Bombyx mori: one gene and its partner. Each later gene encodes a partner of the first gene's protein in a complex. Links are inferred from orthologs where the notes say so. Each region holds a gene or a part of one and is shown on either strand. Other genes may lie near its edges.

Region 1 (4,829 bases):
ACTGTAAATATACATTTATCTTTAAAAGTGCAAGCTCTGAATTTCTTGCTGATTGATACTTTGTGGTGAACCTACATTCCGAATGGGTCATAAAGTTATGTATTTTTTTTTATTTTGAGCTTGATCAATAATAGTATTGTTGATCGAAGATTTTTATAAGAACTATATGATTTTTAGAAGGTCAAACATTGTATTTGATGATGATGTTTTTGTTTTAGGAATTGTTATATAATATACATGCACCTTAGATAATATAACACTCACCTTCTGTTCTATACCCTGCTGATGTCTGATAGCCTTCTGTTTCTGATGATTAGCTCTCTGTATGTGTTGATCTACAGAATTGAGTACTGCTTCACAAGCATTGCACCAGTCGGCCAGGACATCAGCAATGGAAGCTGCATCTTCAAGCCGCGCATCTCTGCCAAGGGCCACGTCCACTTCCACACGTTTACATTCCTGGTCCAACTTGCCGTGAATTATGTCTATGGAAGTATAGTATGTAAATTATTTCCAATTATCGTGCGAGTGGTCTATTGTAACAGTAAAATAGTTCAACATCATGTATGTATATTCAAATCGTCAAGGTATTCTACTCCTAATGAGTTTATACTGTATATCTATATATTGTTATATTGTGCATATTTAAAAAAATATCTTTTAACTAATAAGTACACTGCGGTTAATTTATTTCCTCATGTGATTCTTGTCCACTTCATGGTTATCTGGAATAGAATCCTCTTGACAATAAGACTGCCCATTCTACTTTTGTGTGATGTATGTTTTGTATTTATGTTTATATTGATGTAAAATAAAGAATACACACTATCTGTCTAATGAGGTTTTTATTGAACTTAATTTTATACAAGTAATAATTAAAAGGAATGCATTGTTAATTAGTTGCCATGGTCATAATGAGAAGTGCAAAAATGCTATTTTTAGAAAGTAATTGTTTATTGATGTTTGCTTGCTATATTCACATTCAGATTTATTTGTTTCCCTACAACTACTTACTACCACATGGAATAGATTGATCTCCCCTTCTACGAAGGTAAAAACAAAATAAAATAGTAAAAGAAAAATCAAAATAAATATATGCTTATATGGATAAATAAAAGGATGTTAAACTGTTTTCAGGGCATACAAACTCAAACAGGGAACATAACATTGACTTACTAAGCATAAGTACTTGTAATTATAAGGTAAACCAATAGTTATATTGTAAAACCTCAAATTGTAATTGAATTTTTTATGATAAAACTTTTTTTTTAATTAAGTAATTTTTTTATTGCTTAGATGGGTGGACGAGCTCACAGCCCACCTGGTGTTAAGTGGTTACTGGAGCCCATAGACATCTACAACGTAGACGCCACCCACCTTGAGATACAAGTTCTAAAGTTTCAGTATAGTTAAAACGGCTACCCCACCCTTCAAACCGAAACGCATTACTGCTTCACGGCAGAAATAGGCAGGGCGGTGGTAGATATCCGCGCGCACTCACAAGTGGTCCTACCACCAGTAATTACGCAAATTATAATTTTGCCGGGTTTGATTTTTATTACACTATGTTATTCTTTTACCGTGGAAATCAATCGTGAACATTTGTTGAGTACATATTTCATTAGAAAAATTGGTCCCGCCTGCGAGATTCGAACACCTTTGCATCGCTTCAACATGAATTAACCGGACGTCTTATCCTTTAGGCCACGACGACTTCATACCAACTTTATTCCACTAAGATGCATTAAATTATCTGAAGACATAATAGTAGGGCTCATGGCTCATGTCATTGTAGCATCAGTTTCCTATTTGTATTGGTAGCTAAATTCATTTAAGATTTAATGATTTTTTTTTATATGGACACTTTAGAAGTTATGCTTATTTAGTGTATATGTATTCTTTATCAATGCACATTTTATATATGTGGCTTTAATCTATATAAAACATGAACTAAATAAATTAGATACTACATCAAATTCGGCACTGAATTGTTTTCTCATATACACCACAAGAATAACTCGAAAAAGAAAAAAACAAGGTATAAAATGCATGTAGTCAAACTTGAATTTTAATACTGTTTTATGAATCAACAACTCTGACACTTTTTTTATTAGGGACTGTTTGTATATACACTATAGTAGGAAAATCAACTCACCTGCATAAATAGCTTCAATGATAAGATCTTCTAAATCTCTAACATTTTTAATATCCAATTCCTCAAGTAACACACTGTAAGGGATACATTTCTCTTGTGTTGCAAGTGTTGCAATGGTCAGATGCTGTAATTTCTTGCACTGGACTGTGGTTAATTCTAAATAGTCCGATTTGTTCTCAATGTAGTCCTTATATGTGCCATAGGCAAACAAATTAAGAGTTTTTAAATGAGTTGCATAAGGTCCACTCTCCAGCTGAAAAATACAATAAAATGAATTTTAACAAGAGCGCCAAATTGATTTCTACCCATAGAATTCGGACAGTTTCATACATTTAATGGTTAAAAATGTATTAGAATTAATTGATCGATATAAAGGTAAGTTTTCTAACCTCTTTAATATTTGGCATCTCTAATAGCTCGCCGAAAACATGCACTCCTGGAGCCTCCAGAACCTGTTTGATGAGTTCAGCGCACGCAGAACCTTTAGCTCCCTTTGCTAAAAGGACAAACTGTTCTAGAGGGTGATTGGAGGAAAATGATAACAATGAGGAAGGTTCATCTCGGTCCATTGACATCGGATTCATTTTGAATTTTAAGACGTCTATGTCTATTTCATAAACGGGAAATAGGTCAATTCTATATTGAATCTATATGTTAGGGAAAAAGTATCAAACTCAGATTTAAGGTTTAAACTGTTATATTTATGTACCTACCTAGGTAGGTAGGTATTTTATACTTTCTTTGGTAATTTTAAGTTGACAGTGACAGTTGATGACAGGCTGTTTCTACATTTATATTGCTAGCTGTTGATACTTTAATATTATTATTATTATACATAACGAACGGATGTATTTATTTGTAGGTTTAGTTTACTTCAAATTTGAAATCTATCATAAAATATGTATTCAATTTCCATAAAGAACATGATGGTGGCAGATTATACTTAAATCTATGAAAAGTCAGGTACTTGAGTTCTTGAAGAGCTTGTCTTAATTAGTAATATTGCAAAGAAGTCAGACTATGAGTGCATAAATTTATTACCTATGTATCAAGTAACTAAGATAAATTAAAAAATACCCCAAGAATATTGACATTTCATGTAAAGAATGTGGTGTAATTAAATCACGTAATTTTTGTTAGTTCTAAAGCGTTTAGGATGAAAAATTCAGCCAATTTAAATAGAAATTAATTCAAAAGTAGAACAGTATGCAGAGAAGTACATTTATTCATAATACCAAAAATCTTTTAGTGAAACTACAGCTTTGATTGATTAGTTATAGGGCTTAAAAAATAAACTAATTTCAAGAATTTTATAAAGTTTGTCTTTGACAAAAAAAAAACTAGAAATTTAAAAGTTTATGCTTCAGTTTTCAAATGACCATAAATAATAAAATGGCGTCAGGTTTTTTGTGTGTGCGATAAATTAATTGTTTTCATAAAAATCTGGATTTTCTCCAATTTTTTTTGACATACGAAAGTGTTTTTTATTTTATATGTAATTATGAAGCTTATAAATGCATATATGACTTCTAATAACGTACTATTTATTGTAAATAATGTGCGTGTCAATGTTCGTTGAAGCGTCGTTGTTCTGGGCCGCCTTTTATATTGGGTTGATTAAACTAATTTAGATGTCGTCTAAAGTTAAGATTCATCGTTATTTACACAGAACACCATCACAAGTTGTAAATTAGTGTTGTTTTCGCTTGATATTCGGCGTCGCTGTCAATGAGTGCGTTTTGCGTGTGTGGTTGTGAGGTCGTACATACATGTTCGCAATGATAAAACTGTCATGAGGACTGTTTACTATCAAATAGTGAATCTGTGTTAGTGCGTTTACATTTCTATGTAGTGAAGTTTATATTGTGGTGAAAATGTGTATGCCAACACCGAACAATGTTTCGGGTTTCGGTTATTCTTGGGGCTTTACGAGTTCCGCGGACCTTACCAAGGGCGATGTCGAAACTCCGAGCAGCCTCAGTTATTCGCTTGGGAGTACGGTAAGGTCTAAATAAAATAAATTAAATAACTGAAGCACTTTAGAGTAAACATTTATTGTGCACTTTAATTTCAAAGTGCATCCTCTCAAAGTTTTAACCATAAGCAAGATTGAATGAAATTAACAACAATCAGCTTTCACTTGAAGTAAATTTTCTAGTTATTTTAATATTTAGCAACAAAAAAAAGCTATTATGAAATTGTGTACTTATATGTGCTATTTTGTTTCAAAATAGGTTTCATTTCAGTAAAGACTTAAAATCATTTTATAAATAAAAACAAATAATCAACAATAAATAAAACATTTCAGGTGTCTCCAGAGACAACACTCACTGTTATGTCTCACAAGACACCGCAAGTCCAAGATAAAGTGGGTGCTGTTGCTGTGGCAGTATCCAACTCGGGGGCTCAAGTCACAAGGGTTGTCACAGCAGGAGCTCCGGTGACGGCCAGGAGAGCTATGTTTGTTCTGAATGAAGCTCCAACCCATACTATAAACAGGGTTTCACAACAAAACCAAACAGCGACAATACATAGTGGGTATTATTAACTGTTTTAAGGCTTACAATCGCTTACTAGTCAGCTTTTTGCTTATTTAGCATTAATTGCTTAAATTCAAATTAAATTTTAATTTTAAGCTTAAATTAGATAAATAAAGTTCTCTGTAAGTATTTAA
Region 2 (4,269 bases), on another chromosome or scaffold:
ATAGAAGTCATATTCAGAAAATGTTTCTGGTAGAATAAGTAGCGCTGTGTGAACTGCAGAGCGTAGATTGGATTGTAAAGCACTTTGCAATTGAGAACTGTTGGTTTGTTTAATGATCTCTACTGGTTTGTGTAGACGGCCCGCAAGGTATAAGTCAGTCCAGTCGAGTAGATCACCAACTAAGTCCTTTTGAGAAACAACACCATACTTGATTGTCACATTTTCTTCTTTTAATTCAACAAGGGTGTTGAAATATACTTTCGCCCCCCAATTCTCCTGGAATCTTGCAACAAATCCTTTGCCTAGAAATCGAAGTGCTGAATAATGCGATGGATTTTGTTCAATGTTAGATCCGTGCCATCTATAAGAGTTATCGACGCAGTATATGAGGTCGATCATGTTATGTTTATTCTGATTTCCGACTTGTGGTTTCACAGCAGAGCCATATGCGAAGCAAAATGTGAAGTTTTGAGGAAATTTGGAGAGGATTCTATAGTAAATCGGTGACACATCTCTGATTATGCTGCCAAATGTTTTAGCGGCGGTAGATACCATTATAAAATTAGAAGAAATAGCAGCTGACCTTTAGAGCACAAATCTATTCTTCAAACTTGATTGTGATGTTGCACTGATGTAATATGGTTAATTAGTTGGGAATTTAGATTTTGTTGTGTTACATTTACAATTAAATAGTTATCTTTGACGTTGAATTAAACTTTCGAAGTAACTTTGTCTTCGTTTTGTATATTCGAATAATATCTTCCCATCAATGTGCTAGCTATCATCTGCTACGATAATAAAGTGCCTCCAATATGTGCCCCCGAACCCAAACATGCACATTATTATCCAATGTCCATTAGGTTACACATAAGTGCTTAATCTATGGGTTACACTTTATGGTACACAGATCAGTACTTATGATACCTACCTACTTGATGTAAAACCGTAAAGTGGGGTGATTAGGGATTGAGAGGTGATTGGGGAAAAACCAGGAAAATCTTTAGTCGCTCAATATTAGTTTTATGTTCGTTGCAAAATCTTCCATTTTTTTTAGTTTAATAGTAGAATGTTGAAAGTTCATAAAATAACTCTGAATATGCATGAGAATAGCTGCTACTATTCCCTAGGATAGGGAATGTTAGTAAGATAAGTCAATACCGTTAGTTTTGGAGATGTTTTTTGGATAAAAGACAGTCCGGCGATCTATTTCATTTTAGAAAGAAGAAACACGAACTCGCTCGTTTTCCCGTTAAAAAGTGACTCTCAGAGATACACCTTCCATTAAAATGTAGTAATTTGGACTGTGACAAACATCAGAGAATAGATATTTTATCATAGAATAGAACGAGTATACTGTGCATGACCAAAAATAAAAAAAAAATCTTTGAAAAACTCATCTTTTGTTTATAGCACGACAGTTCAATGCTGCCATGAAATGCATTAAAAATTACCGTACCGCGACAAATAATTATCACCAAAGTGTAGAGAGGAAAATATTATTGTCAAATCATAAATATTAAATTGCAAATACCGACAAATTGATTGCGATAATCGAGACAATACAGATATTTATTTCTCATTATATAGTCCTCTAGTTTCAGTTCATTGAGTTCTCTTATCCCAGAGTTAAAATGTCAAGTGCTGATCGAATTGATTTCGAAATGGAAGTGGAAGTAGAGAGTGCATCTTCAGGTCCGCCGATTGAAGTGCCTAACCCAACATCCCCGGCGCCTACAACACCAGGCAGCAATAAGAGTGTAGTAGTTACGACTGCTACAGCCGGTTCGGTGACCGTCTCTCTCCATCCTTTAGTTATTATGAATGTTTCAGAACATTGGACACGACTTAAGGCACAGGAAGGCTTTCCTCAAACAGGTAATTTATAGGACTAAGTATTATAAATATGAAAAAATGCTTGATCATTTCTCTTCGCACGTTAGTCACTAAAATGCACTCTTGCACTCTTTTTTTAAGAATACAATATATATTATAACTGCAGTAATACAAAATTGTAACATTTTATAATATTTACTTACCTGCTGCGCATAGCCAGGAAGGCAATCCTCAGGAACATGGGCAACCTAACAAATACTTTTGTATATACATTGTCAGCCTAACCATGACCACTCACAAGAATGTCAGACTAAGAAGAAGAAGATTGAAATAATTGTTGCAAATCAACAATAAAATTAGAAAAAAGTCATAATCTTATTATTGATTGATAAAAGAAAAAAGTCATAATCTTATTATTGATTGATAAATTTATTATTAATTAACATTTTTATGTAATATTCTTAATAACTTAGGAAAATAATAAGTTAAATAAAATAATTTGGTTTTTAGTTGTTGGAGCTTTAATTGGGAAGCAAAAAGGTCGCAACATTGAAGTAATGAATTCATTTGAATTAGTGTTCAGTATGATTGATGGAGACATTATTATAGATAGAGATTATTATAATATGAAAGAGGAACAATGTAAGTATAGAAATTAATTTAACAAAAAGTATAAAATAATTAAATATAGTATTTTACAAATCTACTCAAAATAAAGTAGAACAACTATGTTATAAACATTGTTTTATTTTTTATGGAAGTGAAATGATTTCTGAGATATTTCAATAGATAGATCACCTTGTGGGTTGAGTTGTAGGGAACTCCTATTTATTATTTATCAAAAGGTATTATTGCTATTAACATAGATAGGTAGCTAAGCTTAGGTACCACCGGGTGCTGTTTGATTACTTAGGCCTAGAGAGGTATATCAGGAAATTACCCACCTATGCTATAAATAATTGTTTCATGGTGGCTCAAGATTGTAATCACAGCTGAGTTTCATCTCTTGGTACAAGGAAACAACTATCTTACCCATTATGGGCACTTGATAAACTAAACACACCTCTCAATATTTAATTTATTTTCTTCCTTCAGTAAATTAATTCAATGATTCCAGTCAAACAAGTGTTTTCTGACATGGATTTCCTCGGATGGTATACAACTGGAGATGCTCCCTCAGAACGTGACATCGCAGTTCACAGACAGATCTGTGACATTAATGAGTGTCCTGTGATGTTGATGTTGAATCCGGCAGGCAGAAATGGTGATGTAAGTTTTTAAAGACTTGGTGTGAAATATATGTACAACCTTGTTATAAGATGTGTGTTTAAGAGAAAAGCATTATGGCTCTTCTTATATTGACAGTCTGTTCAGAACGCGAATGGAAGAGACAAAACAAAGTGTAATCTTATTTATACTGCTAGTCTTACTTAACAATTAAAATTTGGTGCCAATGATCGATATATTTTTTTACAAAAATAGTTTGATGATGTTACTGCTATCAAATAAGCTAAAAAGCTTGATAAATTATTGTCAATTGGTCATCATGGGCACTGTGATTCTTAAATAATTTGCTCATTGTACATATCCCCTTCCATTAAATCTTCTTGACTTTAGGAGCTCTTAATTCTGTAACATATTAGTCTATAACAATATAATAAATCTTAAGCAAACATTTAGCTACAAACTTAATAACTTTAAACATATTTTCTATACAGCAATTACCGGTAGTTTTGTATGAATCAGTAATTGATGTGGTTAATGGTCGCGCCACAATGCTACTAGCACCTTTAACATATACATTAGCCGCTGAAGAGGCTGAGAGAATTGGAGTAGATCATGTTGCCAGAGTTTCATCTGGAGAAGCTGCTCTCAATAGTTTAGGTAAGTTTTCAATTGTAAATCAAAAGCAGTCAATCAAACATGCTACTTTCTGAAACTGTTAAGACTCTGATAGAATAAGTTGAATCCAGCACTTGGCAAATTAATACGAATTATGAAAACAATTACATTTTCTGTAGATATTGTAATAAATTAATGCATTTTCTACCTTTAGTTGCCGAACATCTGACTGCACAAAGATCAGCTATAAAAATGTTAGTTTCTCGTGTACGGGCCGTACTTGCGACAGTACGCGCTATAAGGGATGGTAAACTTCAGCCTCGACCGGCTTTACTAAGGGAGGCGCGTGCTCTCGCCAACAGATTACCTCTGTTGACTTCACAGCAGTTCCGGACACATTTCTATAATGTGAGTAAGATTATATATTACCGACGATTTGTCACTTAATAGATAATGAGAGTAGTATACAGTATTTGTGTGCAGTGTATGTGTGCACGAACGACTCTTACAGCATAGCTCTTACTCATACCGCAGTTTCCTTAGAAAAATTTGTACCTTCCTGTGGTATTTTAACACCGGTATAGTCGCGTTGGT

Evidence for each region.
Region 2: COP9 signalosome complex subunit 7b (region 1) and transcription factor-like protein share a complex: the UniProt entries of both Drosophila melanogaster proteins name them as parts of the CSN complex. The link is inferred for Bombyx mori from reciprocal best matches to the Drosophila melanogaster genes CSN7 and CSN6.

The regions. Positions count from the first base shown.
Region 1 is NC_085114.1:3,666,624-3,671,452, forward strand, and holds the start of COP9 signalosome complex subunit 7b, read right to left. Parts: upstream 3,132-4,829; 5' UTR 2,740-3,131; coding exon 2,545-2,739; intron 2,409-2,544; coding exon 2,156-2,408; intron 486-2,155; coding exon 265-485; intron 1-264. Other genes in the region: zinc finger protein 615, read left to right, coding at 4,030-4,155, 4,464-4,689. UniProt on the Drosophila melanogaster protein: Component of the COP9 signalosome complex (CSN), a complex involved in various cellular and developmental processes.
Region 2 is NC_085121.1:11,232,624-11,236,892, forward strand, and holds the start of transcription factor-like protein, read left to right. Parts: upstream 1-1,469; 5' UTR 1,470-1,631; coding exon 1,632-1,875; intron 1,876-2,343; coding exon 2,344-2,475; intron 2,476-2,950; coding exon 2,951-3,102; intron 3,103-3,551; coding exon 3,552-3,717; intron 3,718-3,889; coding exon 3,890-4,083; intron 4,084-4,269. Other genes in the region: phosphatidate cytidylyltransferase, mitochondrial, read right to left, coding at 1-555. UniProt on the Drosophila melanogaster protein: Component of the COP9 signalosome complex (CSN), a complex involved in various cellular and developmental processes.